Linked DNA regions of Tribolium castaneum. The protein of the gene in region 1 purifies or fractionates together with the protein of each later gene. This does not show direct contact. Links are inferred from orthologs where the notes say so. Each region holds a gene or a part of one and is shown in the gene's direction. Other genes may lie near its edges.

Region 1 (10,167 bases):
GTAATTTTTTTGGGGGGTGTTTTTTGTAATGATTTTTGGGGTTTTAGGGGGCATATGGTTATGGGGGACTCGTTCAATTCGTCGCTTTTTAAACAAACGTTTCAGCGGGTTTTTGCAAGAGATGCCAAGAATGAGCTGAAAATGGCCTTCAATGCCACACTGGAAGTCAAGTGTTCAAGGGAACTCAAAGGTAAAGTGCAGGAAATCGACAAAAAACAATCGCAAATTTTTAAATTTTTTTATTTTCATAATTACGCAAAACTATTAGATGTAAAATGTAAAATGATCGATTGGCGTCAATAGTTTTTTAATTATATTTTTTTATTTTGCCTATTTCTACTTTTGTTTGCAATTTTCTCGAATTTATTAGAAAGTTGATTTATTTATTTTCTAGTGCAAGGAGGTATTGGCTCTTGTGTGTCCCTCAATGTGAAAAGTCCCCTCGTTTCGGACACTGAAATCGGAATGGGTAACACAGTCCAATGGAAAATGTGCACTTTGACGCCGAGTGCAACAATTGCCCTATTTTTCGAAGTGGTCAATCAACATTCGGCCCCCATACCGCAAGGAGGCCGTGGATGCATTCAGTTCATAACACAATATCAAGTAAATGATTCAATTGAAGGAAAGGAAATTATTAACAATTTTTTTCTTAGCATTCGAGCGGCCAGAGGCGCATTCGCGTTACAACCATCGCCCGAAATTGGGCCGATGCCACGGCCAACATCCACCACATCAGCGCCGGCTTTGACCAGGAAGCGGCGGCTGTTTTAATGGCCCGCATGGCCGTTTATCGAGCTGAAACCGACGAAAGCCCCGATGTGTTGCGATGGGTCGACCGTATGTTAATTCGTCTGGTAATACAACAGTTAAAAATTAATTAATCAAAATTTCGAACTTTATTATTTCTAGTGCCAAAAATTCGGCGAATACAACAAAGACGACCCTAACAGTTTCCGTTTGAGTGAAAACTTCAGTCTCTATCCCCAATTCATGTACCATTTGCGCCGCTCCCAATTCCTCCAAGTTTTCAACAACTCCCCAGACGAGACCTCGTTCTACCGCCACATGCTGATGCGGGAGGACCTCACCCAAAGTCTCATTATGATCCAGCCGATTTTATACAGTTATAGTTTCAACGGCCCCCCTGAACCCGTCCTCCTCGACACTAGTTCCATTCAACCCGATCGAATCCTTCTCATGGACACATTTTTCCAAATTTTGATTTTCCACGGTGAGACAATCGCCCAATGGAGGAACCTCAAGTACCAGGACATGCCAGAGTACGAGAATTTCCGGCAATTGTTACAAGCACCGGTGGATGACGCCCAGGAAATCCTCCAGACGAGGTTCCCCATGCCTAGGTACATCGACACGGAACAAGGGGGCTCCCAAGCCAGGTTTTTACTATCGAAAGTCAACCCGAGCCAAACACATAACAATATGTACGCGTACGGAGGGGTGAGTACCACTTTTGTGTGTTTTGTTTGTGTTTTAATTCTGTGTTTGGTGGATTTTAGGCGGTACCTGCGAGTGCGGTATTTATTTTTTTTATTTTTTGTGGGGTTAAAGGTGTAATTTTTGTAGTAGTATTTGTTACTAATCGGGTGGTTTTATCGCTTTCACTCGCTTCGCTTGCTTCAGACGTGTAACAAAATTTTGTGTTACAGGACGGCGGGGCCCCGGTTTTGACCGACGACGTCTCGTTGCAAGTGTTTATGGATCATTTGAAGAAACTGGCGGTCTCTTCAACGGCTTAAACTACTTTATTCTTATTTATTAAGTACAATAGTAACAAGAAAATATCTCTGGTTAAGTGTTACAATTATAATAAATATATTACACATACATTACACGCCTAGTTCAGGAAGCGAATGCTCATTTTTTGGGCGACATCCGTCCTTTGTAACGCATTACAAAACTCCTCGAATGAAATCATTTGGTCTCTGTCTTCATCAGCCTCCACGATAGTGCGCTCTGCAATACTGGTCAACTGTTCCTCGCTGATGTTGGCCCCCACCATCATGTGCAAGATCGCCAAAAGCTCCTCCTTTGAGATCATATCGTCGTTATCAAGGTCGTACATTTTGAAAGCGACTGGAAAAACTCAATAAAGCGTCACCCCTTGATTTTGATTCGCTTACATCTCAGCTTCTCCTCCCTCGAGTTCAGTTTATTCTCTTTGTTCTTCTTGATGGGTCTAAAGTGGGCCAAAACGCGCATAAACTGCCTGAAATTCACCCTATCGTTCAAGCCTTCCTCCTGGAAAAACGAATTGACGATTCTCTCGCCCAAAGGGTTGATTGCGAGCTCGGGAATTCGGAGGAAATCGTCGCGGCTCAAAGTGCCACAATCCCCACGGTCCAGGGACGTGAAACGGGAGTAGAGACGCTCGATTTGGTTGGGGGTGACTACATTTGCGGTTACAAGGAAACGAAACATGGGCGTACTCACATCCTGTTTCCTCCTGGATTTGGGCGATTTCCTCCTCACGGAGCAGCAGAGACGAGCGGTTACCCATTTTTACGAACTTTCACCAAAAACTGAACTTTGAATTATTGAAATGTCACTTTGACACTTGTAATGACAGTTGTTGTCACAACTGGCCAATCAAACGGCCGGATTTGTGTCACGTGGTTGACTGATTGTCAAAGTCAAGTGATTGAGGTTAGGGTCATTTTATTCATTAAAATTAATACAAATTTAGTTTTGTCGTAATTAAGACTCTGATGGTTTGGTCGAAGGCTGAGCACACCGACAGCCCGGCCTTCTCGGGGCACCAGTCAAAGCTCGTGATGGGCTGGTCGCTCAAAGTGCTGTTTTGCAGCAGAAGCAACTCCCCTGCCACCCCATATTCCAGCCCATCAGCGTCCTTTTCCACCCTCCGGTCCGGATAATTGCTACAAAGACCGTTGGTTTGAGTCGTAACAATTGACACACTCACTATTTCCACAAACAGAGCGATCCGGTGCCCCCCGTAGTCATGAAAATCTCCCGGTTTTGGGGCAAATGTTGGGCGCACCAGATGGTCGAATTGTGCGCCTTTTCGACCACTTGGGCGTACCCTTTAGTGGGGTGATGGGTGCGCACATCGAAACAGAAAATTTTCGACTCCAGAGTTGTGGCAACCAATTTGTTCATGGGAATGTCTTTGCGGTCGAATTGAAGCGAAACGATTCCGTTTTTGAGGCATTTGGACCATTTTACCGACATGTTCCGGAGGTCGTAGATTTTCAAATCGCCGTTATCGTAACCCGCTGCTACGACTCGTTCTTCGTTATTGTACGAGTTTCCGAAAGCTACGCTCCAACAATCGCGGCCTTGGGAGCCCTCGCTTTGGCAGAACTTGGCCACGGGGGTGTCTTTTTGCCGAATGTCCCACACCATGACAGCCCCTAAAAATGTTCGAGCAATGACTTTCAATAAAAAATTACAGTACCGTCTTTAGATCCGGTGGCTATTTCGGGGGCCCCGCACCCACTGGCAACCCCCGCAACTCCATCAATGGCGTTAATGACCCCGCGGTGCTTCTCCGTCTTATAAATCGGGATTAAATTCTCCTCCAAATCCCTACGAGACTTAAAAATTTTGGCCAACTTTTGGACGACTTACCAGACTTGTAACCGCCCGCTGAAGTCGCCAGTCGCAAGGTGGCGGTCTCTTAAACTCGAGGCGTGAAACGTGCCGCATTTAAAGTGGTCTTTCTTGCCGAATTCGGCCACTTTTTCGATCCCATCACCACTGATTGAGTAGGTCTCGATAATTCCAGCCCCGTTTGATTTGCCCCCGATTGAGACGAATTTCGCGGAACAGGGGATCCACTTGACGTCGTGGACGGTGTAGTTCAGGGCTTGCTGCACGTGGCAGATTATTTGGGGCCTTTGGAGCGACTCCATAACGTTTGATTGATCAAACAATTGTTGTCATAGCAAAGCGCATTTTCGGGGGCAATAATTGCCCAAGTTTAAATAAAACAAGCTGTTCTCGTTACGTTTTTAATTATTTTGTTTTTTTTTTTCACCCCCGTTATATCCTGCAATGTTCTTTATTTTTGCAGGAAATTAAGCCCTTCGTTAGGGCCTTCGACTGTAAAAAATCATGTTCGGACAAACAGCCATTGGGACCTTTTTTTACGGCTGTAAAAAAACAATTAGCAATACATTTAAGGATTGCTCTAATTAGTCAAATTATTAACTAATTTGTCCAGCAAATTAGGTTTAGAGCATTCTTGTCAGGAAAAAAGGAAACAGCTTCCAAAGCATTCGAAAAAAAGATTTTTAATTGCATTTTATTCGTAAGAAAGTGAGGTTAAAAATTTGACAACTTGCGCTCTAAATATGTCGTTTCAAATATAAACAGAGTAGTGATAAAAGTAATTATTTTGCTTCAATTCGGTGATTATGTAAGCGCAACAACACTATGATATGTTAGTGACCGTCAAAGTGTTGTTTTTCGCTAAATCGAGAGAAATCGTGGGCCAAAAATCCGCCGAACTTGACCTGCCGTCCCCCATCTCCTACAAAAAGCTTTTAGAAACACTCGTCGGCACGTATTTTTTGGCCGAAATTGCCCAAAACATTATTCTCTCCCTCAATGAGGAGTTTTGCGACGTGGAAAGTGTCGAAATTGTGTTAAAACAGGGCGACGAAGTAGCAATAATCCCACCTCTGAGTGGCGGTTAGGGCCCCAAAATGAATTTTTTGAAATTCACCGAAGACAAGCTAAGTGTTGAGGCGTTGACTGATCTAGTCGCCTCGCCGAAATGTGGCGCAGTCTCGGTTTTTATGGGGACCACCAGAGACAGTTTCGGGGAAAAAACCGTCCTTAAATTGGAGTACGAGGCGTACGAAGCCATGGCTTTGAAGTGTCTCGAAAAAGTGTGCGGGGAGATCAGGGCCAAGTGGCCTCAAGTCGAAAATATCGCAATCTATCACAGGTTTGAAAAATTTAAATTGGGGCCAAATTTTGATTTTTTTTTGTTTAACAGACTGGGGGTTGTGGGGGTCAAGGAGGCTAGCATTGTAATTGCAATCGCGTCCCCCCACCGTACCGAGGCGCTGCAAGCCACCGACTGGTGCATCAACAAGGTTAAAGAGAGTGTGCCTATTTGGAAAAAGGAGATTTACGCTGAAACTGAAACTCCTCCACAGTGGAAGGAAAATAAAGAATGTGGGTGGTCAAGTAAATAAAGTCTAAAATTGATTGGCTCTCATTTATAGCCCCCAAACCGAAAAAATTCAAGCTCGAAATCGAGCCCAAAGTCGAAATTCCCAACGTTTCGCCCCATTTGATTCAAATCAAGGCCTCAAACGCGGACTTGAGCAAACGAATCGAGAATTTTATGGAGATGAAGCGAAACGAAATCAACATAAGCAATGTGAGAGAGTTTTGCACAAGTAATCGAAGTTCAGAGTTCACTTGCGCCCGAGTCGATGCGGTTTTGCAAAAACGCAAAGACTCCAATGGCCATTTGCAAGGTTCGTGGCCCTTAAAAAATCACAATTTTACGATTTTTATTCCAATTTTTACAAGTCTGCTAAAAGTATACAACTGCACAGGGTTATTCTATTTGGCACCAGACATTTTTCATTAATGTTTAGAGAACACATTTTTATCTGAAAATAAAAAAATTAACGAAAAAATTAAGACTTTACGGACAGGACACAAATGTGCCGAGCATGACCTCCTTGATGTATGCAGACAACTTCGTTAAAAATAATACATCAAGGAGGCCATGGCGCCGAGTAAAAATTGACTGAAAAAAAAGAGCAAAGAAACTGCACGGTCAACACGAGAAATATATTTTTAACAGACTAACCCTCTATAAATTTAGCAAAAAATGTCGGGGAAAAGTGCTACTTTTCGGACGATTTTCGAAAAACAAGTATTTCAGACTAATTTTTTTGCAGTAAGTCGGGTTTTGAACACTTACCACCGCGACCAAACAAATTCGGACTACCTGACCAAATACATCCCCCAAAACGGCATTGAGGAGCGCCTCCAAAACCTGGAAATCCAACTCAGTTTGACCACCCCAACCCCGAAAAATATCTACACCCGTTTGAAGAAACTAGAAGACCGGATATTGTTCCTTGAAACGATTTCGCCCGAATATATCAATTTTTGGGTAAGCTTTTTGAGAGATTTCCCTCCCTTTTTAGTGAAATTTTTAGGACAAAAGCCACTTAAACAATAGATTTGTGAAGAAGAAGGTTTTCTCAGTTGAGGAAATCGATTCGCTAATTAGCGATTTGGAGCGGAAGGTTCAGGAGGAGAAAAAATAAATCTGTTTTTAGTTTATTATTATTATTAAAAAATAAATTACGTAAATATTGTCGGGTCGGTAAACCTGGCCGTGAAAATGTAAAAAAAAGCCGGCAGTGGGACCAACAGTAGCAACAATGAGTGAAAAGTCGGGTCACTAAGCTGAGTTATTGAAATTAAACCATAGGCGTGTAAACACCAATGGCCCACTAAGATTACCACATTTCTCGGGTCTACAACTGTTGTTATGATGAGTGAGGGAATCGATTGGTTGATTTTGAGGGCAAAGTGATAAGCACACGAAATAACTGACAAAATAACGACCAAAATTGGGAACGCATAATCTGGAACAAAACCAATCAAAAGTGTGATTTTTGGCGCAATCATTACGTACAAAGAAGTCCCCCAATTAGGGCATGGACCACCACCAAAATCGGTATATAGTACATGGCGGCATAAATCGACATTTTGCTCTGCCTTGGAAGGTATTTCCGGCAAACCCATGGCCTTATCAAAAGCATAACAATCAAAGTCAGGGCATAAAAAATAAAAACTAGCGTATACCTAAAACAAAAACACTCAATAAAGTAGTATAATCAATTAGTAGCCCTACAAGGGATACACAGCCTCCTGGGTACAATGCACCCTCTTCTCATAATCCGGGGCCGGATTATGCAACAAAGTGTACCAATCGGCCAAGCTGCGCACTCTGCAGTTCCGCACCTGGAACTCGCCGAACGGGTGCGTGAAAAGCACCGACAAGAGCCCCGAAATGACCACTTCCACCAGCGCAGTCAAGTGTAAAATTAGGACGTCTTTTTTGAAGCTACAACGAACAGTGAAGGTGTGACGGGCAATAGGGGGCTCACCTTCGTCGCATCGACACCATGTCGATGAAAAACCAGTGCAGAATCTGGACCAGGAGCACCATAAACCCCAAATAAAGCCAGTCGTAGAACGTGGGGCTGTCGGTGCACGGCTCGCAAATAAAAGTAGTGTCGTTGCGCCGGAAGCCCCGGGGGCACGACCCGCACTCGCTGAGACTGCCATTGGGGAGGTACTGGCGGCCGCAGTACCAGCCAGGACACGGAAGCATCTTAAAGAGGCATCGCGGAATGTAAGGTTAAGGCGGACTTGACAGGAGATTACAGCCGGCCAGTGGGGCATTTATTTATCAATGCGATAACAAGCGCGCCAATGGCACATTTTTAGGGTTTGGTTAATTAAATTTGGCTGATTTAATTATTTGGTGCAGTTGTGTTAGTTTCGTGCCGATCTGTTGATGGGTGACCAATGTTTGGTTGGTCCACTGTGATTTTTTCATTCTCTTCTTGACTCATTAAAATTACAAGTTTGGATTTATTTGTTTAAAAATGTGGTAAATTGGTATTTTTTTGTGTCATAAGGTAGATTTGTTGTTAAAACTGTTAAATACGACACATGCCTTAGATTTGGTTGATCAGGTGTGATTTATTGAGGCGTTTGTTTCATTGAGCTGCAAAAATGTATCGTTTTTTACACGTGGATGAATTAATAAAGTTTGTTTGATTTAATTGTGTTTTGATTTTTTCAAAGTTTGAATTAAACGGCATTTTCGATAAGATGGACGTCTGAAGTGGCGTGTGATTGGTCGGGTGGCACGAATACTCGATCATGATTGGTCGCGTCGGACTACTGGCGAGTCAATTGACGATCTGACTAGCGTAAAATTAATGAAAATAAGGTCCCGGGGGTTGTTTTGGCTATAGTATAATTCATTGCGTGAATTTTGCGTGCCCTAGGCTGGGTTTGGTGCGAGTCGGAGTGAATTGGTTGTGAAAACCAGTTGTGTTTTGGTGCGCGCAGTACCCCCCATCTATTTTCAGCCCTAGGTACTTACGGCATCGGTTCGTGCAAAAATCGCGTAAAAACCCGTCAATAGCGCTTAAACCCCCGGTGTTTGGTGGCCCCTTTGTGCAAAACCTAGTCTTTTGGGCGGCGTTCGCGATGTTGGTGTGTTCGCACCGCGCATGGATCGGCTGAACGCGAGTATTTTGTGTCAAAGCAACCAGCTGATGGCGGGTGAAAATACTGGACTCGCTTGGCAGTTGTTCGATTTTCCGCGTCTTTCCGCCGATTCCTGCTAACTGTTTGTGGTTGTGGTGCGCGAGGCGGCCCCAGATCGGCGACTCGGCTTGCGTTCCCTCGACCGGGCTTTGGGCGTGCACCTTGTCATTGGAGGATGCGTTCGAAGGGGGCTGGTGCCGTTTGACGTAGACGTCCAGGTGAAATGTCGCGCGCGTAAACCGAGCCAGATCGAGTAGCCAGCATGTCGACCACGGCGTTCGTCGATCGGATCGATCCCTTCGCCAAGCGCTCGCTCAAGAAGAAGACGAAAAAGTCGCAAGGCAGCTCCAGGTACAGGAACTCGCAGGACGTGGAGCTGCAGCCGCTGCCGCTGCTCAAAGGTAGGCGGGGGCCCAAGGGCAAGGTCGCGACTGACCGCCGGCATCGATCCACGGGGGCTCCCTTGGCCGCCCCGAAAGGGGCTGCCAACTGACATTGTGGCATCAAAGGCCGGGCTTTGTGGCCGGACGTGGAAAACAAAAGTTTACCAATAAATGTCACTTGTCAAAATAAAGCGAGGTCAGGAACGTATATACGGAACTGTCATTTTATTTTTATTGATTTCTTGCTTCAATTGACAATTTTGCTTCAATTCATCGCAAATTGACGGTAATTTCATAGAAGTAGACGAAAATAAACTAATAATTCGGTTTTTCTGTGAAGAAATCAGGCAGTTTTGCCGTTTAAATGCCACTTGTAGTGTGCTATGGAAAACAAAAGTTGATACTTGACAATACGCAAAAAATGTCATTGCCAATATTGATTTTGACAAAATTATTCATAAATTTTTCGCGAAATTGTGCGACACGAGCGTGTTTTTGTGTTTTTTTTTTAGTTCTACTGGTAGTAAATATAATTCACTAATTAAAATATAACTGTTTTTTTATAAAACAAAAATAATTGTGTAATTGCATTATATTGAAATTAGATTGCATTTGGAATAATTCACTTCTTCTGCCCAGTTGTGCTAATTTTTACGGTAATTGTGGCGTATTGTAGTTCAAAAGAGCGAAAATTTGAACGTCCAAAACTGATTTTAAAAAGCGAATAAATGCAATAATTCTAAAAGCCTACATTTTACATCTACATTTTAAAGTGGCCTGCAGTCAAGGCCAAATGTGTCAAATCGGCATGTCGTGTATAATTTCAATTTTGGTTGATGGGCAACAAATAGTAAAATTAAACAAAAAAGTCAAAATTTTAAGATAGATTTGTTTAAATAGTTTTTTATGACATGATGAAAATTCATAGAATGCAAACATTTTGACAGAAAAATAATAAAACTTGAAATTAAACTTTTTGATATTCACCTAAAACTCTGAGCCTGGCCAAGTATAAAGCTTACTGGATTCCTGTTAATATTATAGTTAATTAATTTTTACTTGATTTATAGTTTTATTTGGAAAGTTCAAAGACTTAAAAGAGGTAAAACTCTATAGAAGACACATACTTAAGTATAATTGTTGTTAAAATAAATTACATATCTGTATATCTTATCTATGATATAATATCTCGTGTTTCTCCAGATTTTCTTTATTGAGTATTATTTTCAACTTCTATCCACCAAATAAATATAAAACTATTCATCAAAACTTATTGAAGCGTAAGAGTATATAAATTCCATCGTTTGAGGTGTTTATCAAATTTCTATCTTTATTTGTTCTGAGGATACAAGGCTAACTTGATTTTTTTTAAATGGCAAGAAGGGTCAAATTTAATATTTTTAAAAAGAGTATTTTTTTCTGAGTTATATGGTGTAACACATGCATATCTTACTTTAATATAAACTTAAAAAAA
Region 2 (10,033 bases), on another chromosome or scaffold:
AGTTTAGTACAGTTTGCCTGCAGGGGGGCCCACCAGCTGGAGGGCGAAGCCAGCATTATTTGTACCGAGACTGGGTTTTGGTCGCACCCGCCCCCTTTCTGCAAACCGCGGTGCCCCTATTTGGGGGAGCCCGACAATGGGCTGGTGGCCCCCACGAAGTTTGCCTACGAGCCTGGAGATGAGCTCCAGATCACCTGCAGTCCGGGGTTTGAGGCCAGGTTGGAGGCAAGGCCTAAGTGTCTCCCAGATGGGAGGTGGTCGGCCCCCTTACCCAACTGCACCAATTATTCGGAGATTTAATAAGATATTAAGCGTTGAATGTTTGTGATAATGATGATGGGAGAAACATCGTTGATTTTATGACTCGTAATTAAGTATTTTTCGGTTATTTTTTACCAAAAAAGTTGTTACACATGATGATCTCATGCCGAATACAAATTTTTATCAAATTGTAGATATTTCTAGCGATAGTGAATGTATTTACAACGAAATTTATGTACCATGTAATTGATTGGTTTTTTATGTAAATAAATTCAAAAACTGCCTTAAGGTAGTCAATTTATATTCATCTGTAAAAGTTTATGTAATAAATTTATATTGTCAATAAAACGTACAACTGATTGCGAACACTTTTCAATGACGAACGCTTATGGTCAAAAAAAAGTCATCAAGTTGATTTAACTCGAGTCGTAAGAGAAGACCAAACAAAAAATTACAATTTTCCGCTGAAGTAATTTTGTAAATGACTAACTGTTAATAAAGAGGTCGTCAAATGGTGCGTATACACTTTGCCCTCGGTATTTTTTGTTCTCACATGTGGAAAAACTGGGGAAATTAATTAAACCGGACGTTTTCAGTCCGTATTCACTAACACAAAAATAAGTAACCAATTAATTAAGCCAGGATTAATGAACAGTATTTTGTGTTGTTGTTTAAAAGAAGTCTTTATCTTGGTTGATGCACTCAAATAATTAATTCATTCTGTTTCAAACCTTGAGCAAAAACTGCTAATGTCATAATTATTTGTCTCTTTGTATTGGTGGCTTTTCTTTCTTACTTTTGTCAGTGGGATCCACAAAAATAACGGAAAATTCTATTAGATTTTTTTTAAATTTAAAATAAATCGTAGAATTCGCTGAAACAAATTGCTTCGCCCTACGACTTTTAGTTCTAGAGTTATGATTTTTTTTTAGTGAAAAACTAAAAATACCTCTGAAAAAACTTAGTGAGTGAGAAGAAAATAAGCCCAAAAAATCACATTTATGGAATTTTCTGACAAAATTTCTACCATTGTTTTGTTTTTCGTTAGGGACATTTAATAGGTTGGTATCGCGTTGCCCGGCCTACTTTTCCATTTTCGAGTCTTGTTTCATCAAACTCTCGGAGAAAAGCATCGGAACAAGGCAAAAATAAAAGTTCAGACATAATTTGGCCCTTTATCAGCTCTGTTTTCTCGATAAAAATGCAATAATACCAAAAATTGCTAACCTTATAGGTAGCGTCTCCCTCGCTTTTGAACCGGTCCTCCAGCGTTTCTTGGAATTCGTTTCCAGCCGGCAACCGATGATGTCATCTCGTCAGATTTCCAATAGAAAACTTTGATTTCAGTCAATTTGGCACTAATTACGCGAAAAACACTTTTTTAACAACACATAAAAGCAAAAACTTAACGACGCGCTTGTGAAAAAAGTGCGTCCCCACTAGACCACCGCGTGACATCAAGTCAGGACATCTCATTGGTTGGTTCGTCGAGACGTCAAATCGAGAGGCGCGCGATTTCAAATTTGCGTGCTCTCTACATTTGAGGTTCATTTTCGACTTTTTGCTCCAATAACCGAATTTCACAAACGAGCAATTTCGTTTAAATTATTTTTTTTCACCATTCGATAAATAATTTGAAGCACATTCGGATGCCCCTTTTAATTTTTGCCTTATTAGGCTTCAAGATAAAATGTTCGTTAATGGTTTTGGGGAATTGGAAAAAGAAAAAATAATAGTTGTTTCAAAAATTTTATTCAAAATAAACTCTACACTTGAATATTAAAACACGTAGTCCATGCTTTGGCATTCACTTGTTTAAGGATAGCCCTTAGGGACGTGCCTGGGCCACACTCAAACGTCCTTGGGAAATAATCCCCTTGACTCCTCTCATAAACAACATGAAGAAGTTGTTCCCACTTTACAGGTTTAACAATCTGGAGAAAGAAAAACTCAAAACACGAAAAAAAAAACACTTCTAAATTACCTGTTTCGGCAATTGTTTTTTGATCTGCGCTGCGTCTTTGTACTTTTTCCCGTCAACATTTGAATAAACACTAATTACAGGATTGCTCACTTCTGATTTATTTAATGCCTTTCGAAACGGTTCAACCGCTGGTAACATTAAATTGGAATGGAAAGCTCCACTAACCGCAAGTCTTTTAACTTTACGTAAATTTAATTCTTTGGCATTTTTTTCCAAATAATCAAGCGCCTACAATTAACTGCATAACAACTACAAAAATGAAGAAAAAAAATTACAGATTCGCTCCCCGAGATGACTTTACAATGGGGGTACAAATAATTGGCAATTTGACATTCGGGCATTAAGTCGCCTTTATCAGTTGCCCATTCCTTGGCTTTGACTAGTGCCTGGTTTAACTTCGTGTCAGGACCGTACATTACTGTGACCATCCCCCCCTTGTACGCCTCACTAGCCAATTGCATTGCTTCCCCCCGAATTTGCACCAATCGTAACCCTTAAAAAATTCCAAATAAAATTCAATTTTTTGCCAACTGGTTGTAAAATAAACCTCGCTCAAAACCAATCGCCCCCGCAAACACTAACGCTGTAATTTCCCCCAAACTGAACCCTGCTGTCCCCACACAACTCTCAATAGCCCTAGGTCTCTCCTCTTTCAGTCGTTCAATTGCCGCTAAAGAACTGACCATTATTGCCGGTTGACTATATTTTGTTTGGTCCAATTTGTCTTTGGGACCCTCAAGACACAATTTTAACAAATCGTACTTTAAAATATAATTCGCTAACTCAAACAAATCCCTAGCCATGGGGTACTTGAGCAAGTCATTGCACATACCGACAAATTGGCTCCCCTGACCGGGAAATAAAATTATCGAGGACTCGCGTGGATCATATTTAGGTTTTTCGATAAATGAGACACCCTGTTTGCGAATTTTGGTGCCTTGAGGGTATGGCAAAGTAGCCCATTGTTGTTCTTGTGTCTGGGGGTGCAAGTCTTCAAAGGTTGCTGATTCGTCGAGGAGTTTCTTTAGGGGAGATTCTTGCGTTTTTTTCTCATCACAGTTACGATTTGAGGACAGGGAGAAGGGGCGAAGCCCTACCAAAACACGATCGCAGTCTTTCAGAAAATTTCGTGTAATAATTTTAGTAAACATCATGGTATAATTAAACTGTTAATCAAGCAAAACACACAAAACTAATTCAAATAAAAACACATTTTAATGATTCAACTTAACCTCGAATGTCAAGTTGCGACCATATGACCGATTGTTCGCCCAATCTAAACTTTAATCCAAGACGCCAAATTTATCACCACTGATGCAAACTACTCTACTTGAGCTAGCTTTAAGGAAAATTAACGAAAATGAAGATCGGACGGAACCACTTTCGTAAATTTGGTCTTGTTTAAGGTTGTCAAAAGTAAGGTTACAGGTCAGCTGTCAATTTCACGTGTGTAGTGTTTATTTCTTGTATTTTTTTGTAAATTAAGTTATACGAGAGTGAATTGTGTAATATCTAGTCAATTTTTTACAAACAAAATGACAAATACGCAAGAATCGGACATAAATCCTGAAGAAGATTTGTACTATTTCGAAACGGATCACTTGGCTTTGAGAGGAAATAAGGACTATAGTGAGGTTCTTAAAAACTTGCTCATTCTGTGTGCTCAGAGAAAACAAGCAATAAAGGTAAAGTTGTGTGAATTTAGTTACGTTTCGATTAAAAAAGTCTTCAGGACTATAACAAAGCAGTAGAATTGAAGAAAGAAGCACTGGCAGACCCGGCCAAAGTCTTGGAGAAAATTATAAAAGGGGAGTCTTTGGGAATGCCAGATATGCACCGCATGCCTGAAGTAATTACAATTTTTTTGAGATTTTTTTCACCTAATTACATTAGAGAACAAAATATAATTTTTAATAAAGCAAGGAATATTTTGTTCATTTGGTGCATTTTAGTTGCCGGTTATTGACTGGTCAAAGTACGATATTAAAATCCCGGAGGAAAGTTTCAAATTGATTTATTCAGACGGTTCTGAGACTGTTAAGAAAAAACCCGAAACGCCGAAAAAAGAAACGAAAATTTCACATGGGGTAACACATTTTGTAAAATCGGTTCAAATAAAATTGCTTGATTCTATAGAAATGGACAACAGAAGAGCAGAAACGTTTAGAAGAATTGCTCCAAATTTATCCGCCTGAACCGGTTGAAATGAGACGGTTTAAAAAAATCGCTGATGCTTTAGGTAATTAATTAGGCGAAAAATATTAAAACTTGGTTAAATTTTCTTAGGTAATCGAACAATTCAGCAAGTCACGAGCCGAATTCAGAAATATTTTGTGAAATTGTACAAAGCTGGATTGCCAATTCCTGGCCGAATTCCAAAATCTGCCGAAAAACACAAAGTGAATTTACATTATTTTAAGGCACCAAAAAATTATTTTTTTGTAGAGAACGTCATTACATAAGCACCAGCGTCACAATCATTATTTATGGAAACCTACAACTTTTTTCCCCGATTTATGTGTTCCTGTAGTAATGAATGACTTGGATAATGTTCCTGGACCTAGTTCGAAAATTACAGATGAGATACAGCCTTCTACAAGTTCCAATTATCTCATACCTTCGGTTTATCACCAGGAGAGTGAGATTTTGCCCCAAAAAAGTGACAGTGAGTTACAGCTGGAACTTTTAAAACGGATACGAAAAGTTAAAATTAGGGAGAATGAGAGTGGGTCTAATTTCCAACACGTGGGATTTAAAGTAAAAAATAATAATAATTTAGCCAATTTTTTGGTGATTTATTTTCTTATAGTGTGATTATTGCAACGATGAACCAATAATTGGCACCAGATGGCATTGTAACACTTGCAAAAATGACTCAATTGATTTTTGTACAGACTGTGTTTTAACACAAATTTATTCCGATAATAGCCACCCTTTAAACCACAATTTAATCGCATGTGGTGATAGAGAAATTGAAAGTGATTCAGAGTCAAATAGTGGCAGTTTGGATCAAAATAACGAATCAAGTGATGAAGAAATGAGCGATATTTCGGATAATGTCAAGGACCAAGTGATGGCAAACGGAATGGACGAAAGCGAGAAAATTGATAATAAAAATCAAAGTGAAGAAATGCCAAAGTTGGAGTTTGGTAATTATGGTAATGACGAGTTTGTGGACGGACTTGGGTCCGATTTGTTCAGCGAAATTGAAAATCTTTCATACGATTATTTGCACTCGAATTTGTTGCTTGATAAGGATTGAACGTTTTGTTGTTGAAGATTTTATTTATTTATTGCCTTTGTTTGTATGTAAATTTGTGATTGCAATGAAAAGTTTTTTTATATGTTAGCTTTTCGTTTAACCCTTCAGAGCTCTCCTGAAAATCGACGTGATAACGTAACAAAAATCAATGAATAAAACTTTGTTTACAGCTTTGCAAAAATTAGTTACCTTTTTGTTGATCATTTATCTTAATTCTTACATAACTTTTTTAATATTATTCAGTGCGTGTTGTGAATTTTTGCGTGCTTTTAATACGCATTTATTGAAAGTGTTTTTTTTGGTCAAATATTTCGAATTTTCAGAGTTTACTCATAATTTTTTGTAAATAATGCATTCTAGACCTGATTAAGTGATTTCCTCCGTTGTTTTTACAAATTTCCTAAAATTTATTGATTTTTTTAGACTTAATTCTACAATTTTTTACCTATAGTTTAAGCAAAATCTTTCCAGTTTTTTTTTAAATTCCATTGAAAAACAGTTTTAAACAAAATTCTACAAGTTGAATTTAATTTATTCACTGCAACTAATTTATTTAACGTATCACTGACAACTTGACTACACTTATTATTTCATTGAGCGGTCTTTATTCAGTAAAATAAAATATGTATTTAACGTTCTTATCTGTCAAAAGAATAATAAATCATTTATGATGTTTTTATCGTTTCTTATCGTAAAAATACATTTCCGTTTATATTTCATTTTATTACAACTGCAATTATAAATTACATAACATCTCAATAAATAATTTCTTATGTAGCATTTGGATTATCGGGTGGCACAGCCGCGAATAAAATCTGAATAAAACGTGTAAACTTTCCTAAAAATTGCAACAATTAGTAAATTACCCCACAAAAAATTGTAAACCTCATACTCATCAACAATTCCGGTGTTCGCTTCTTGTAAACAAACCAATAATAAACCAAAACCCCCACCAAAATAAACGCCAAAGCGAGCAAATATTTCGGAGTTGGATCCGTAATAATGGGCGTAACACTCAAATAAATAGCTACCAATAAAACGAAAACACAAATCCATGTAGGCACCTGAAAAAAATCATTAAACCAAACCGAAAAAAAGATTTTATATGTACTTTGTAGGGTCGAGGAGCATCTTTCATAGTCCTCCTTAAGACAAGTAACGAGACAAAAGCCAGCCCGTAGAATATCCAAATGAGGAAACTAACAAATTCGATCAGTTCAACAATATCCCCAGCTACGATAAAAAGGAGCGATAAAATCCCCTGAGAAACGACAGCGAATGACGGAGTTAGACGTTCATGATGAACGAAGGAAAGACTTTTGATCATTAGGCCGTCCTGTCCTGCCACATAACACACCCTTAAATTATTTAATTCGTTAAAAGACACACAAAATTAATTTTTTGGTACCTAGTGACCCCAAATTGTATACTTAGGGCACATCCAAACGTAGCTAACGCCACTCCTAGTGGTATCAAAAACGCCAAAGGGCCTAAAACCCTTTCACCGAAAGTTACAGCAACAGCAGGCGAATTTATCATCTCAGGTATCGATAATGCGGTCATGTATGCCATGTTCATAAAGACATACAAACCGGTGACTATGGGAACACTTATCATTATGCTCCTCGGGATGTTTCTGCAATTATTCAGTCACGTTTTTGTTCAGGAATTAAAAATTACTCACACTTCAGGTCGTTTGATCTCTTCAGTGATTACAGTGACCGCAGACCTGTAAAAAATGGTGAGTGTGTGCCATTTCCAGGCCTGGTTTTTACAATTACAATTACCATCCGTCATAAGCCCAAAGTCCGCTATAAAAGGCCAAAGCGATGCTTTTCGGTGTGTACTTTGTGCCTTCGAAGCCCCGGTTTAAATTGTCAGTGTTGCCTTTGATGATTTCGTAAAGGCCGCCAAAAATCACCACCAAACAGGCGAATACTTTAAATCCGCCGAAAATGTTCTGCACTTTGACGTAGAGTTTCACGCTTGAAACGTTGATGTATGTTATTATACCTACAACGAGTACGATTTCAAACTGAATAGCTATTATCTAGCGTAGTTTCTCAAGTAATATTGGCTTGGTTACAGAGTTACTTTTTTACATATTACTTAGAATTTTCTCTTTACGTTTATTTTATTTTTAGTTATTCTGGGTTTATAAGTTTTTTCCTACCTAGGGCGAGTAAGGCCACCGTTTTGACCGCCTTCTTCACCTCTTCAGAGTCGTCCTGTATGCACATCAGATCTAGCAACGGTTGGCACAAATATTCGGAAAAAGTCAGTATAATAACAGCGACTTCTGCCGGTTTGATTATCACAATCATGACCCAGGAGTAGATGAATGAGGGCAAATGGCCCCAGAATTTGTGCAAGGGGCCAAACGAGTCCATATAGTAGGCGTATTCGGCCCCTGAACGTGGGATAACAGTGCCTAGTTCGGCAAAAGCCAGAGCTCCTAAAATGTTTGTTGGAAAAACATTTTTTTACGAAAAAAAAATACCTAGAAGGGAGATTATTCCGCATACTGTCCATACAACTAGACACATTCCAACTGAACCGGAATGTTCGAGTGCTGAAGCTGGAGAGACGAAAATTCCGGATCCTATCATGACGGCAAGAATTAGATTTATGGCGGAAAAAAGGCCCAATTCGCGCTTGAGTTGGACGCCTTGTTTGGCGTCGCCATTTGTGGCCGCTATGGTCCCTAAAAATTTATCATTAGACACTATTTTCTATTGAAATTTCGTAAAACAGGCTCAAACATTTCCTAATTAAATAATGTTCAAAATTATGTTATTTTCTCGCCTATTTTGATCTGAAAACTTACGTATTCGAAATTATTGTCCGTATCTGAGTGACTTAGCTTTTTTTTAAAGGCGAAAAAAATTAATAAAACATTTTTCTTTGGGTATTATTTATTTAGTTCTATTTTATTTTCAAGCTTTGTAAAATTTACAAACTCTTCGTGGATGCGCACGCACAGCCCCAGTTACAAGGTGGTAACAAGGAAGAAGAAAAAGCTCCCCTATAAAGAACGCTGTCTCTTCTCTGCTAACTGTCCTAAGGTTCAGACATGTTATGTGTTATGTTCATAACTATTAACGCCTTATTATTATAACATTATTAAAATCGGATTAAAAAAACTGACCTTTGGACATGCAATTATATTGTTAGGATTCTGCCCTGTTTTTAAGGTATATTAAAAACGTTAAAATTTTGAGGCACGAAGTAGAAACAGCATTTCTATTGACTACTGGGAAAATAAATAACTATAAACTTCACTATAATATAATATTGGTGTTATGGACTAATTTAAAAGTTCTGGTTTAGGATATTACTGTGAAGTTTTTGCTTGGAAGTTCATCAGGAACTCCATTTTCTCAATTGTTACCATTTTTCTTTTCATTAACAAAAACTGGAACTGACAAAGTTTTTGTATTTCTTCAGTTCAAAAAATAAAAGCAGAAAATAATCTAAACTCAAGTTTTTTTATACTGTTTCAGTCAGTTTAATAAATACTCTCTTAAATCAAAATCACTTGCAATCGTGGATTTCTAGATTAAACCACTCTTATGTTTGTTTACCAATTTACACAGGACAGTACACTGACTTCTTGACATTAAATTATTTAATGTCGAGTTTAATGTTATTGTTAAAAATTTTTAAATAAAAATATAATAGTAAATATTTTATTAAGCCGTACAATAATTTTTTGCACTTCTTAATATTAGTTAATTTATTAATCATTTAATAAATTTTAATTCGAAGGAATTGTAGAAAAATTCTGAAAAAATTCACAAACATAGAGAAAAATATAATAGCAAACTCTGAATTATGTGCGTCATTAGTTTTTCATATATATCTACTAAAAATATAATTTTTGTAGATTCACTCCGCATAAAAATTTTAAAAAATTTGTTTTTCTCCGTTATATTAGAGGTTTCCATAATAAACTTTGAAACCATCACCGGCATAGTATGCTTATATCTATTAATCTGTTAGTTATTTATTATCTATTACTCTATCTTTTAAATACGTACCGACTAGTAATTTTTATTGGTCTGTAAAGGCGAAAAATGTCTGTTTTTCTCTGTTAATTTTACATAATAATGTCCATTATTCTTATCTATTAAATATACGGGATGAGTCTACTAAGTACATAATGACGTCATCGACTCTTTTTCGTTTTTTTTTACAGATCCAATAAAATAATACAAAAGGTGATAAAAAAAATCATGTCTGACATTTCTCTAGCGACAAGCTTGAGGCATTAGATCACAGAACAACGTCAAAAATGCCATTATTTTTGCAAGTTCTGAGGATTTAAACAAGTTTTTAGACCAAAAATCAAGTTTTTCTTCCTGTTTTTATTAAACTCGAACAAAAAAATGACTTTATTGTCACTCGTATCGTATTTTTATTTGTTACATTTTGCTCTAAACATTTTGTAAATAAGCAATAATAAGGTATAATCAAATAGGATCATGAGCATATGATTACAACGTAAATTACGGGTAAATGCTGTT
Region 3 (10,173 bases), about 7.5 Mb from region 1:
CGCGTATTTATTAGGGATTTCATTAAATTATATTTTTTGACGTAACAATGACATCTACGCTTGCGCGCAGATCGCACCGAAAATATCGCGCCAAAAGTGTTGTTTTGTCACTCATCGTTCAACGTGTTACCGGAAGTATGTAGCAATTATTTGTTTAATCGTTTAATCAAAGCAAAAATTCTGATTACAGTTCGTTAGTGAGTCAATTCCTGGTGTTGAGCGCCGACCAAAAAGATAAGTATCTCTTATTTTATTAATATAACCTCATCTTTTTGATTGGTGTTTCTTTCTATTTTAAAGGCATTGGTCTGGAGTGACGGATTTTTGATTTCTACTACTCAACTGAACTTTAGTCATGGCTGGTTATCGCAAATATTCCTGCAAATACCCCGGATGCACCAGTGATTATGTTCCCAACAAAGGACAGTCCAATAAGCATTTCTTCACCTTCCCTAAGAATCCAAAGCTTCAAGAATTGTGGAGGAATGCCTGCAAAATTGAGGATCCTGTAAGTTCAAAATTTTGGCGTTTTCGCTATTTAGGGTATTTCAGAATTTACTTTTAAGTTTCTTATTTGCGCTCGAGTGTGTCAGTGCACTGCATGTACCTCCTCGTGGTCGTAGCGTGGGCAACTGTTTGCTGACAGACAAGGTAAAAGTCATTGCAAAGCAGACCTTATTTTGTTTTAAGTCTCGAGCAGACAGGCAAAACATGCCAACACTGACTGATTTAATTTTTTTATAATTTTTGTATAATTAAGAAATAATACAATACTTTAATTTTTTGAAAAATTTAATTTGTTATGTTACTCAAGTGTACAATAAAAATGTTAACAAAATCTGTGTTTTATTACCCCAAAACAACTTTTTTTGTAAGTTTCATTTCAAATTTTGTTTAAAATAAATATAAAACGTTTTCATTTTGTTTAAAATGAAAATATATTTTTTTATTTTAAACAATTTGCAATGAAACTTGTAAGATAAAAATAATAAAAAACAATATAAAAGGAATTTATTCAAACGTGGCACTTTACCGTGGTAGTAACGCACTTCAGCACCAGAGGCGCTGGATTCTCGTGTTGCCAGTGATTTACTAGGGAATTATCACTTCTTAACCCTTTCTGTTCTGTGCTACCTGTCAATTCCTAAAACGTCTACAAACATCACGCTCTGCACAAGCGCGGCGCTAAATTTAAATAACACGATATTTTTTAATGAAATAAATTTTCAGATAGACCCAAATCGTTTTGAAACCAGAATTTTCCTGAAATATTTAAATTAAAAACCTCTATATCATTAGTTAGTTACATAATTAATAAGCAAATAATTTTTTTCATTTTAATCTAAAGACGCAAGTACTAATTAAATTCACAATCACAACCTCGTAGCAAGTTTACAAACACGTATTTAATTAAATAAATAAAAAATAGTTGCAATTTTTTAAATAGCGCCTCAAGGCCGTCGTAGTTCCAATGTGACAACACAGAGATAAGTAATCCTAACACAACATTATCTTATATAGAAAAAAAGGGAAACTTAGTGATATTATCGTTGCAATGTTAAAAACATTATCAAGCATTTTATTCCACAATTATTACTAATTAGTGAATTTTTTGTAGGTTTAATTGAATATATGTATTAGGTCGTGTGTTTCAAAAAGTAGTCTATTTGCACGGCTAACGTCAAGCACAGGCAAACAAAAATAAGTGTATTTTAAATTACGTGCATGTTATTTTGATAAAAAATTACCATTTCCATAATTAGTAGTTTATTGTAAAGTACAATACATAAAAGTTACCCCCGCAGTGCGACTTGTGCCCTTTTCCCTGGCAGTGCATCAAACAGTCAAATCAATGTTTTTTGATTTAATTGAAATAAACATTTCCACTAGAACCGTGTGTAGAATAGTCAGTGATTACTAAAGTGTATACTTTTGCTCTATTTTGGGCGTTTCAGGTACTCGTCACTTTAGTGTTGCTTTGCTGGTACCACGTTGTGCTTGTAGACAGGCACTTCAGGAACCCATATTTCTGCGGTGAATTTTAATTGCACTATTAAAATGCCCTTTAGTGCAGACGCAATCGCAGCGCAAAAAGTTCAGGAGCACTTGAAGTCGCTCTATCACACGGTTCATGAGATTGAGAAGAAACGCCAACAGAGTGAACAAGGAATAAACAACATTGTTAAGTTTCAAAATGGGCAAGACGAGAAGTCCAGCCAACATTATCAGGTGTGGATTTTCTGGCATTCGCAAAATATTTTGAGGCATTTTCCGAAAAAATAACAGTAATTTGGGGCCAACATTTTTATGTGTGTATCAGTGTGATTTGTTTTCTTCTTTGTGTCAACGACATTTGGTCCCTTTACCTCGGTCTTGTTCTCAGCGGCAATCGTTACCTAATAATTATGCTACAAATAAAAGTACTGATTTCACTGCAACTTACAGTTAAAATTGTTAAAACGTAAATAATTACAATGGCTTTTAAGATCTTTGATGACATTTTTCTGATCTTTGGCGGCTTACGGTGCCCTGGAAACGCTAAATTAAAAAAAATCGCCTTTGAACCACCTTTTAAAGCTCAATTGTGTTTCAAGTAAATATTTTTGTTTACGTGAATTTAAAGAATTCCATTGTTTCGATTCAATAAGAGTTTATATGATTACTGTAATGATTATATATTGTAGATGAAGCTAAAGAGCCTCTACAAGTCCTCAATTTCGCACGCCGAGCAAGAGGAGGATTTGCTCCGTCAAGCTCTTCAAAAAATTGCGGAAATCCGCAACATTAAGAACGAACGGAGAATTCAAACGAGACATGCTGGAAACAAAGAATCGATTCGTAGGGGCACTTGGATGAAGATGTTAATGAGTTCGGCACAAACATTGCCCCTTTTCGTCGGTAAAATAGACGAAAAACCTCCTGCTCTCTGTGGTGCCACACCTGCTGACTCTGGCTATGTGGCAAAAGTGGGCGATATGGTGGCTGCTTTGGTTAAAATTCCTGATGGAGATGGCGAAAACTGGATATTGGCTGAAGTGTACAGTTATAATCACGCCTCAAATAAGTACGAAGTTGATGATATTTTGGCGGAGCAGAATCAGAAACGGCGACATACTTTGAGCAAGAGAAATGTGGTACCGTTACCCCTAATGCGGGCTAATCCCGAGACTGATCCAACGGCCTTGTTTCCACAAGGAACTGTCGGTAAGTGGAGTTACAACGAACTTCCTCCTGTTTCAAGCACCGATTATGGCAAAACTCTTCGGAAAATTGAAACTATTTTAAAGTTGTCTTTGTAAAATGCTCTGGGAAATCGCTTGGCGTCAAGAAAATGACCAGATTCTTAATAATTTTTAAGATATATTTTTTACACTGTTTGCGATTTTTTTTAAAACTGTTAATCGCAGAACAATGGTCTTTTTTGTAAAAAGAAACAGATTATTAAGAGCTATCCAACGATTATACACTTATTAGGGTTTCGGCTAGTATTTCTGGAATTATTGCCCGATGAATGTCACAAACGTGTTGAAACATTCGGTGGTATGTTAGCACAAAAAAAATCTATGTAAATTTTTTACATTTTTATAATTATTTTATGGGATGTCTCGTGGTTTTTTTGTGTCTGTTTTTGCTAATAATTTTTACTCAGTGTAGTAGATTCCTCAGAGATCATATTTGTTTAAAATTTTTATTAGTAAAGTTTAAAATTGCTCGCCAAATTTAAATTTATTCGCCATCGCCGACGAAAATTCAGAAACCACAAATATTCGGATAATGCAAGTTGAGTTCTTTTGAGCTCTACTCACATTCCTTAAAATATTTGCACAACTATCAAATTATTACTTTTTCGCAAAGGATTAATGTTTTTTTACAATTCTTTCTTATTTCGTCTTATTTGACAAATGATATAAAGCAAAAATAACAGCTAAAAAGACACTCTTTGTTAATTTATCTCTTCTAATGACCTCGGATATAACGAACGGATTTTGACACATTTTCTGAGTTCGTTATAACCGGACACCACGTAAATTAAAATGTTGGTTTTGCGTTTCAGTTATGGCTCTATACCCAACTACGAGTTGCTTCTATAAAGGCATTGTGAACAAGCCTCCCGCAACACATACTGATGAATATGAGATTTTGTTTGAAGACGCTGCGTATCCTGAAGGCTACAGCCCGCCCCTGTATGTGGCCCAACGCTACGTCATTGCCATAAAACAGAAGACAAAGCAAGCCTGACATTATCTTTCAGACACTATGTCTGATTCTGAAGCTTCAAGTTTTATGGAATAATTTATTGGGTAGTAAACATTCGAGAAACTTTCATTTTGTGTTATATTTCACCAATTTATTATTCATCTTTACATGTACATGAATTTTTTTTACATTTTTGTTATTTTCTAATCTAACTTTTAAAAAAATGGAACTCCTGAAAAAAACAGGCTGAAGGTACCTGTAATGTTGCAACATTAAAAATTATAAAATAAAAACGAAACTGTTCAGACCGTAACAAAACTATTCTCATAACCGTTACAACTACCAATTTCTCACCCAATGAACGAAAGAAACTCATAATTATCTTATGACTTTCTTTGTTTTCTTCTGACTATGAAGAAAAATTAATTTCCACACATGCACGCAACACTCGCTCAACTCATACATGTTAGCCTAACATTTAAATTTTACGAGGGGAAATGTTTTTAATTTACAGTTTTTAACTTCACTTTTTTTCTTTTTTCTTTTGTAACTTTTTTTTCTTAGTCCAAAATATCAGTGTGATAGAATTATGAGAGGTGTTACTTAAACAAAAATGTAATAATGATGTTCCTTATATTTACCAGGCCCGTCAGTATGGTGAAAAATATCCACCTCGTCTGTAACTCCTAAAAATGTAGACATCAGTTCATTAAGACACTTCATACTTGCTTCAAAATAAAGAAAACAGAAACAATACTGAAAAATAAAAATAACCGCACAGAAAGTATATTGTTTCCTGTTTTATTGTACAAGACTGGGGAAACGTACCTTGGTCTACGCATGGGCCTATAGCCAGCGTAAAATCCCCGCCCGACTCCTCGTGCCCCCCGGAACGCCCCTCTGCCCCTTGGCGGCCGGTTTGTGGTGGAAAGGCCCGGTCTATTGGTCCTTTTAGGCATGACCTAGAAAAATGGAGTAATTTTATAGGAAATGCGCCCTAAAATCGCACCTTGATTGGTCTTCCTCTAAACAACGACTCGTCCATCGCCATCGCCGTCTGCACGGAGTCCCTGTCCCCAAACTCAATGTAGGCGAAGCCTTTGGGGTGTCCATCGTATTTATTACAAAGAATAGTGACCCGGTTTATTGATCCACAACCATGGAAGTGCTGTTCCAGTTCTTCGGCTGTTGCGCCGTAGTCGACATTGCCGACGTAAATACTGCGATTATCAACCTCCATCTTCTCCTCAAGCGACATATTCAAAGGACTGGCTACAATAGGGCTCCTGTCACGCCTGCCGCTTTGTTCCATTGTACTTACTTAGTCCGGGAGGACTGCCCATGTTCATTTGTTTATCGACCTCGCTCTGGAGCTGTTTCAGCTTTTCGGCTTCCTCTTCCATCTCACGCACCCGGGCTTTGATGGCTTCGAGCTCAGGGTCGTCGCCCCCGGTGCCGTCCAAATCGGTGTCGTTCAAAAGAGCGTCGTCGTGCATCCCATTTGTTTCGTCTAAAGATTCCAAGTGATCCTCTGGACCTAATCCCAAATCTTCATTATCAGCCATAGCTGAAATTGTCAACATAACCCCACTTTTAGTACGACGAATTTTTCACCAATTGCGCGTTATTGGAGCAACTTTTAGCCCCATATTCGCACTATACTCCAACACATATGTTTCGCACAGCTACTTCAGTTAACCCACTTTGCAAAATTTGGTTTTTTTTGATGGAGCATGATTGAAAGTTGCCCTTTATGTAATAGGATGTCGGTACTCACTTTGTTCAATCTGTTACATGTAAACGCTGCCGTACTGGAGATAATTTTTTGTCAAAAGAGCACTAAAACACACCATCCAAGCCACTTTTTTATTACCGGCAAATTGTGGAAGAGTCGGCTTGTGAAGAAAAATGGCGTAGGTGACTTGCGTTGCCAACATTTGCACAACCAGGAACGCCAATCCCAATAATGAAAGACGCTAAAAACTACCCTTATTTTAAAACTTAAATTAAATAATTAAAAAATTTCCTAATTTGAACAGTTAAGAGCTATAAAAATCTAATTAATAAAAATCAGATTAGATAAATTTAATTCGTTCTCGTTTTTTATATTAGTTTTTTATTAAAAAAAAAATAAAACTGTGGTGAAAATGATCTTATTTTGACTATTTTGAACCCAAATTGTCCATAAAGTAATACTTTTTAGTATACATTGCATATGTTATTCATTATTACGATGAAATCGTCGTGTAAATGCTTTCAAAATAGCGTACAAAATGTGTAATGTTGGCTGCATAATACTTCAAATTTTTATTAAAAAAAGAAGTAAAAAACAATGAACCCGATGTAAGGAAAAAAATCCCCACTGAGAAAAATTTAATTATACAATATAACCGGCCACAAGTCAAACACAGGGTGAGTGGGGTATGATCTGCCAAACTTAACAACTTAGCTTAACTTAGGCGTCGCTCATCATATTCAGTTTTAATTTTTTTTTCAGAATTAAATAAAGCACTGATTCCATTTTAAAAGTCTTTTGGTACTACACTCCGAGTAGAAGAAAATACATATTATTGAATTACTTACTGAAAACATTTTAAACTGTTCGACAAAAAAAAATCGATGTAAAATTTTTGAATTTTTATATTTCTTATGAGAAAGGACTCGTTTTTCTATGGCTGTCCTTACCAATTTTAACTCTCTGTAATAGATTTTGAAGAACTAAACTTAGAGATCATATTTGTTTAAACTTTTTGCTGGTCCCATTTTATTCGCCGACTAAAACTCTTTATATCTCATAGACTATAAATATTCCACTTCTTGTGAGCTCTATTATAACTATCAAATTCCTACTGTCGCAAAGGATTAATGTTTTTTTACAATACTGACTATATAAACACTATTATGTAACTTATTTATTATTACTTTAATAATAATTATTGACAATAGTTTTAAATACGTCGTAAGTGATATTATTTTTCAAGATTCTACATATTTTTTTTAGATGACATATAAATTAAATAAAAACTAGGCAGTATTAAAAAAAATAAATTATTTGTTATTAAAATTAAATATTATGAGCCCAACAAAAATTTTGTTGGCCCACCTTTTACCCATCCAAAAATTAGAGTTACGACAAAAGACACTTTATTCCCAAGAGTCCACTGCAGTGCTAAAATTATCCAATTTTTATCCAGTTTTCAATATTTTTTTTCTAAATTAAATAAAGCACTGACCACTGATCGCAGCTAGAGTAGAAAAATGCCCTGTAACCATTTTTGGAAAATGTTACTACGTTAAACGGCTTTACCTAAATCTTTCGGCAAATAGCGAAAAGAACGTTTAGAAACTACAATTTACGAATTCAATTAATTTTTTATAATGTCCATGCAAAAAATTTTGTGAAACATTATTCACATGAGAAAACGGTCCTAATTTCTTTCAAACTAGCTTGTCAATAGAACCATGCAAATGTGCAGTTTAGATCGGCAACTGATAAAAAAAATAGAAAACGTGGTCCTTGCACTGATTATTATCTTACATCGTCACATATCCACTGTCATAGCTATAGAATTTTAAAACCGAATAATAAGACGTGAAAAATGCCGTGAATATTTATAATTTGATGAACTTGACACAAATGTATTGTTCCTATAGAGAACAACAATAAATGGCAGTGGTAGATGCCGGATATAGCCTCGTACATGATTTCATTCCTTATGACCATTTCAAGAGGAAATTTCCTTGATTTTGTTTGTCAAGAATCCTTATTAAAACCCTGCTGTAACTTGACTTAGGTTATGGTGGAATATTTTAATTTAAATCTGATGGCATTGAATTGAGGGCCACTAGCTAACCTTTTATACCTACACGAAAGGTGGTCGCCGGATATCCTTCCTGAAGATTGACAAGTACAAGCGACTGGATAAATTTCAGTTGTTCAAAAACAAGTTTGGCTCTTTTATTGTTATTTATTCCACTTAATTATTTTTTATGTGGTCTGTTTAGGCATATCCGGATTGACTAAACGTAAACATCAATAATTCTCCGAAAACAAAGTGTAAAACCTTCCAGCTTCCGAAGGACACAATATCCGGATTTTTAATTTCATGCTTATTTTTCGTAGTAATAGACAAACAAAAATAACAAACAAAAACTTCCTAGAAAAAATATTTCCCCTCAGATCCAGGTTTACCTAAATTATGGAAAAATTTCATTTAAAAAGTGACCCAATTTTGCAAAAAGTTCATTTCCTCCTCGGTCTCCGTGAACTTTCGCAAAATCGACAAGGCGATTCCCAAATAACAATGTTAAGTCCTGGAAATCCTTGTGATCATTCGACTGGAAAAAGAATATGTTTGTATAGGAAATAAACATTACTCAAGTTGCAATGTCAAGTTATAGGTCTTGTCTAGTAATTAATGTCATTATGTAACATAATAGTTGTAAATAGAGCTAATAAACTTTATTCATTTATCATTTATAATCGGACAGATTTTTCTACAAACTATACTTACATGCCTAACGAAGGCACAAGAGAAAATGCCATCACAATTCATTTTCAAAGTTCAAAAACTGGCAAGCACAATATTTTGATGATTTAGTAATTTGTTCATAATTTTTTAAACAATAATATGCATAAAGTAGTTTTTATTTTGATTTCGTTTGCGTTCCAGTGCAACAATAAATGTTGAAAAAATGTTTTAGAACAATTAAATTGCGGATTCTTTAAATATTGTAAAAGTATAAGTCATCATTCATTATAAAAAATATTTTGAAAACAAATTAAATTAGGTACTTCTCAATTCCACAAACTGCACTAAATTTAATTGTCTTATAAAACTTGTTTTTCTTGGAAAATAATGCTTGTTTCATCCTTCAAAAATTTCCCATTTAAAGTTCTTAATTTCTACCTTCATAGTTTATAGCCTTCCGGAAATGATTACTCGTTTGTTAATTTGTTTGTAATTTAGTAGATATTTTCCAACCAAACATCCTAACTTGGTGGTCTTTTCATTCTTATAAAAACAACCAACAATCTCACTCTGTAAACATCGATATACCTAAACACGTTAATTACATTATTGTTTATTTATTAATTTTTATGAAGAAAACAAGAAAAAATATTTTTAAGAATGTCTACCATGTAACTTCTATTTAGCAAAATCTATCTACCATCCCATAAGCTCAGTTTACCAGACATTATAAAATCCATTTAAATTTTAAAAGATGATTCACTCAGTATTACACAAGACATTATTAAGTGTATTTATTAAAATAAAAAATAATTAATAGCTCAACAGATAGATTTGAAAAATATTGCATTTATCCACTATAAGTAATAATTACAATAAGCAATTTTATTTTCTATTGTATTTTGTTTACCGTAATTAATAATTATTGAAATTAGCTATTACTTCACCTAAAAACAATTCTAGACATCTAAAAATTTAAAACCTAAGAAGATGTCCAGTGAATGCAAATACCAAACCTTAATATAATTAAAAGTTAAAATAAGAAAAAACAACACTTATTTCTGTCAATTGTAATTATGCACTAACATGTGGAGCCCCCAATAAGGGATTTCTCGACGAAATTGAGGAAAACTGCATTTAGTGAGCGCAAACCCATCGCAAAACTTGACGCACTTGACCCAATAAAATCGCATATGTGTTATATAACGTATAAATGGATTATTCAAAGACCTTGCAAAAAATCACAGATCACATCACATTCTCAATATCAAACTAATTAAAATGGCGGTGATTTATTACTCCAACTGGTAATTTTATTTTCTATAAATATAACAGTAATACTTAACAGTTTGAATGAAATTAACCGTTCAGTTTATTGCAATTAGTTTAAAACTCTGTGCTCGTTTTTAATTACGCCTTAATTAGAAAAAAATTGAAGGTTTTAATCGTAAGACATGTAGATACACCTTAAATTGTACTTCTATCACGTCCAGGATCAAGTGAC

Evidence for each region.
Region 2: the proteins of Mocs2B (region 1) and Atac1 purify together in Drosophila melanogaster (affinity purification with mass spectrometry; 4 studies listed by BioGRID, with this or other methods). This does not show direct contact. The link is inferred for Tribolium castaneum from reciprocal best matches to the Drosophila melanogaster genes Mocs2B and Atac1.
Region 3: the proteins of Mocs2B (region 1) and Sgf29 purify together in Drosophila melanogaster (affinity purification with mass spectrometry; 5 studies listed by BioGRID, with this or other methods). This does not show direct contact. The link is inferred for Tribolium castaneum from reciprocal best matches to the Drosophila melanogaster genes Mocs2B and Sgf29.

What each region holds. Positions count from the first base shown.
Region 1 is NC_087396.1:21,502,367-21,512,533, forward strand, and holds Mocs2B (molybdopterin synthase catalytic subunit), read left to right. Parts: upstream 1-4,691; coding exon 4,692-4,936; intron 4,937-4,987; coding exon 4,988-5,169; intron 5,170-5,219; coding exon 5,220-5,477; intron 5,478-5,909; coding exon 5,910-6,127; intron 6,128-6,173; coding exon 6,174-6,284; 3' UTR 6,285-6,321; downstream 6,322-10,167. Other genes in the region: Sec23 (protein transport protein Sec23A), read left to right, coding at 48-190, 395-606, 657-857, 913-1,461, 1,521-1,538, 1,671-1,760; elm (calcineurin B homologous protein 1), read right to left, coding at 1,859-2,097, 2,145-2,411, 2,455-2,521; Wdr92 (dynein axonemal assembly factor 10), read right to left, coding at 2,693-2,900, 2,945-3,395, 3,440-3,570, 3,613-3,896; Mocs2A (molybdopterin synthase sulfur carrier subunit), read left to right, coding at 4,425-4,682; JNK1/MAPK8-associated membrane protein, read right to left, coding at 6,322-6,608, 6,659-6,828, 6,878-7,090, 7,134-7,360; wdb (serine/threonine-protein phosphatase 2A 56 kDa regulatory subunit epsilon isoform), read left to right, coding at 8,573-8,711. UniProt on the Drosophila melanogaster protein: Catalytic subunit of the molybdopterin synthase complex, a complex that catalyzes the conversion of precursor Z into molybdopterin.
Region 2 is NC_087394.1:37,100,181-37,110,213, reverse strand, and holds Atac1 (ZZ-type zinc finger-containing protein 3), read left to right. Parts: upstream 1-3,595; 5' UTR 3,596-3,780; coding exon 3,781-3,930; intron 3,931-3,977; coding exon 3,978-4,094; intron 4,095-4,197; coding exon 4,198-4,332; intron 4,333-4,381; coding exon 4,382-4,484; intron 4,485-4,531; coding exon 4,532-4,644; intron 4,645-4,690; coding exon 4,691-5,002; intron 5,003-5,054; coding exon 5,055-5,507; 3' UTR 5,508-5,585; downstream 5,586-10,033. Other genes in the region: hig (locomotion-related protein Hikaru genki), read left to right, coding at 1-300; beg (probable malonyl-CoA-acyl carrier protein transacylase, mitochondrial), read right to left, coding at 2,028-2,195, 2,246-2,473, 2,521-2,738, 2,793-3,399; b(0,+)-type amino acid transporter 1, read right to left, coding at 6,278-6,345, 6,400-6,571, 6,619-6,865, 6,916-7,143, 7,192-7,236, 7,295-7,520, 7,681-7,962, 8,008-8,211.
Region 3 is NC_087396.1:14,027,504-14,037,676, reverse strand, and holds Sgf29 (SAGA-associated factor 29), read left to right. Parts: upstream 1-1,628; 5' UTR 1,629-1,906; intron 1,907-1,955; 5' UTR 1,956-2,058; coding exon 2,059-2,229; intron 2,230-2,684; coding exon 2,685-3,204; intron 3,205-4,054; coding exon 4,055-4,239; 3' UTR 4,240-4,326; downstream 4,327-10,173. Other genes in the region: Pabp2 (polyadenylate-binding protein 2), read right to left, coding at 4,847-4,883, 5,026-5,159, 5,207-5,469, 5,519-5,762. UniProt on the Drosophila melanogaster protein: Component of both the SAGA and CHAT histone acetyltransferase complexes, which both predominantly acetylate histone H3.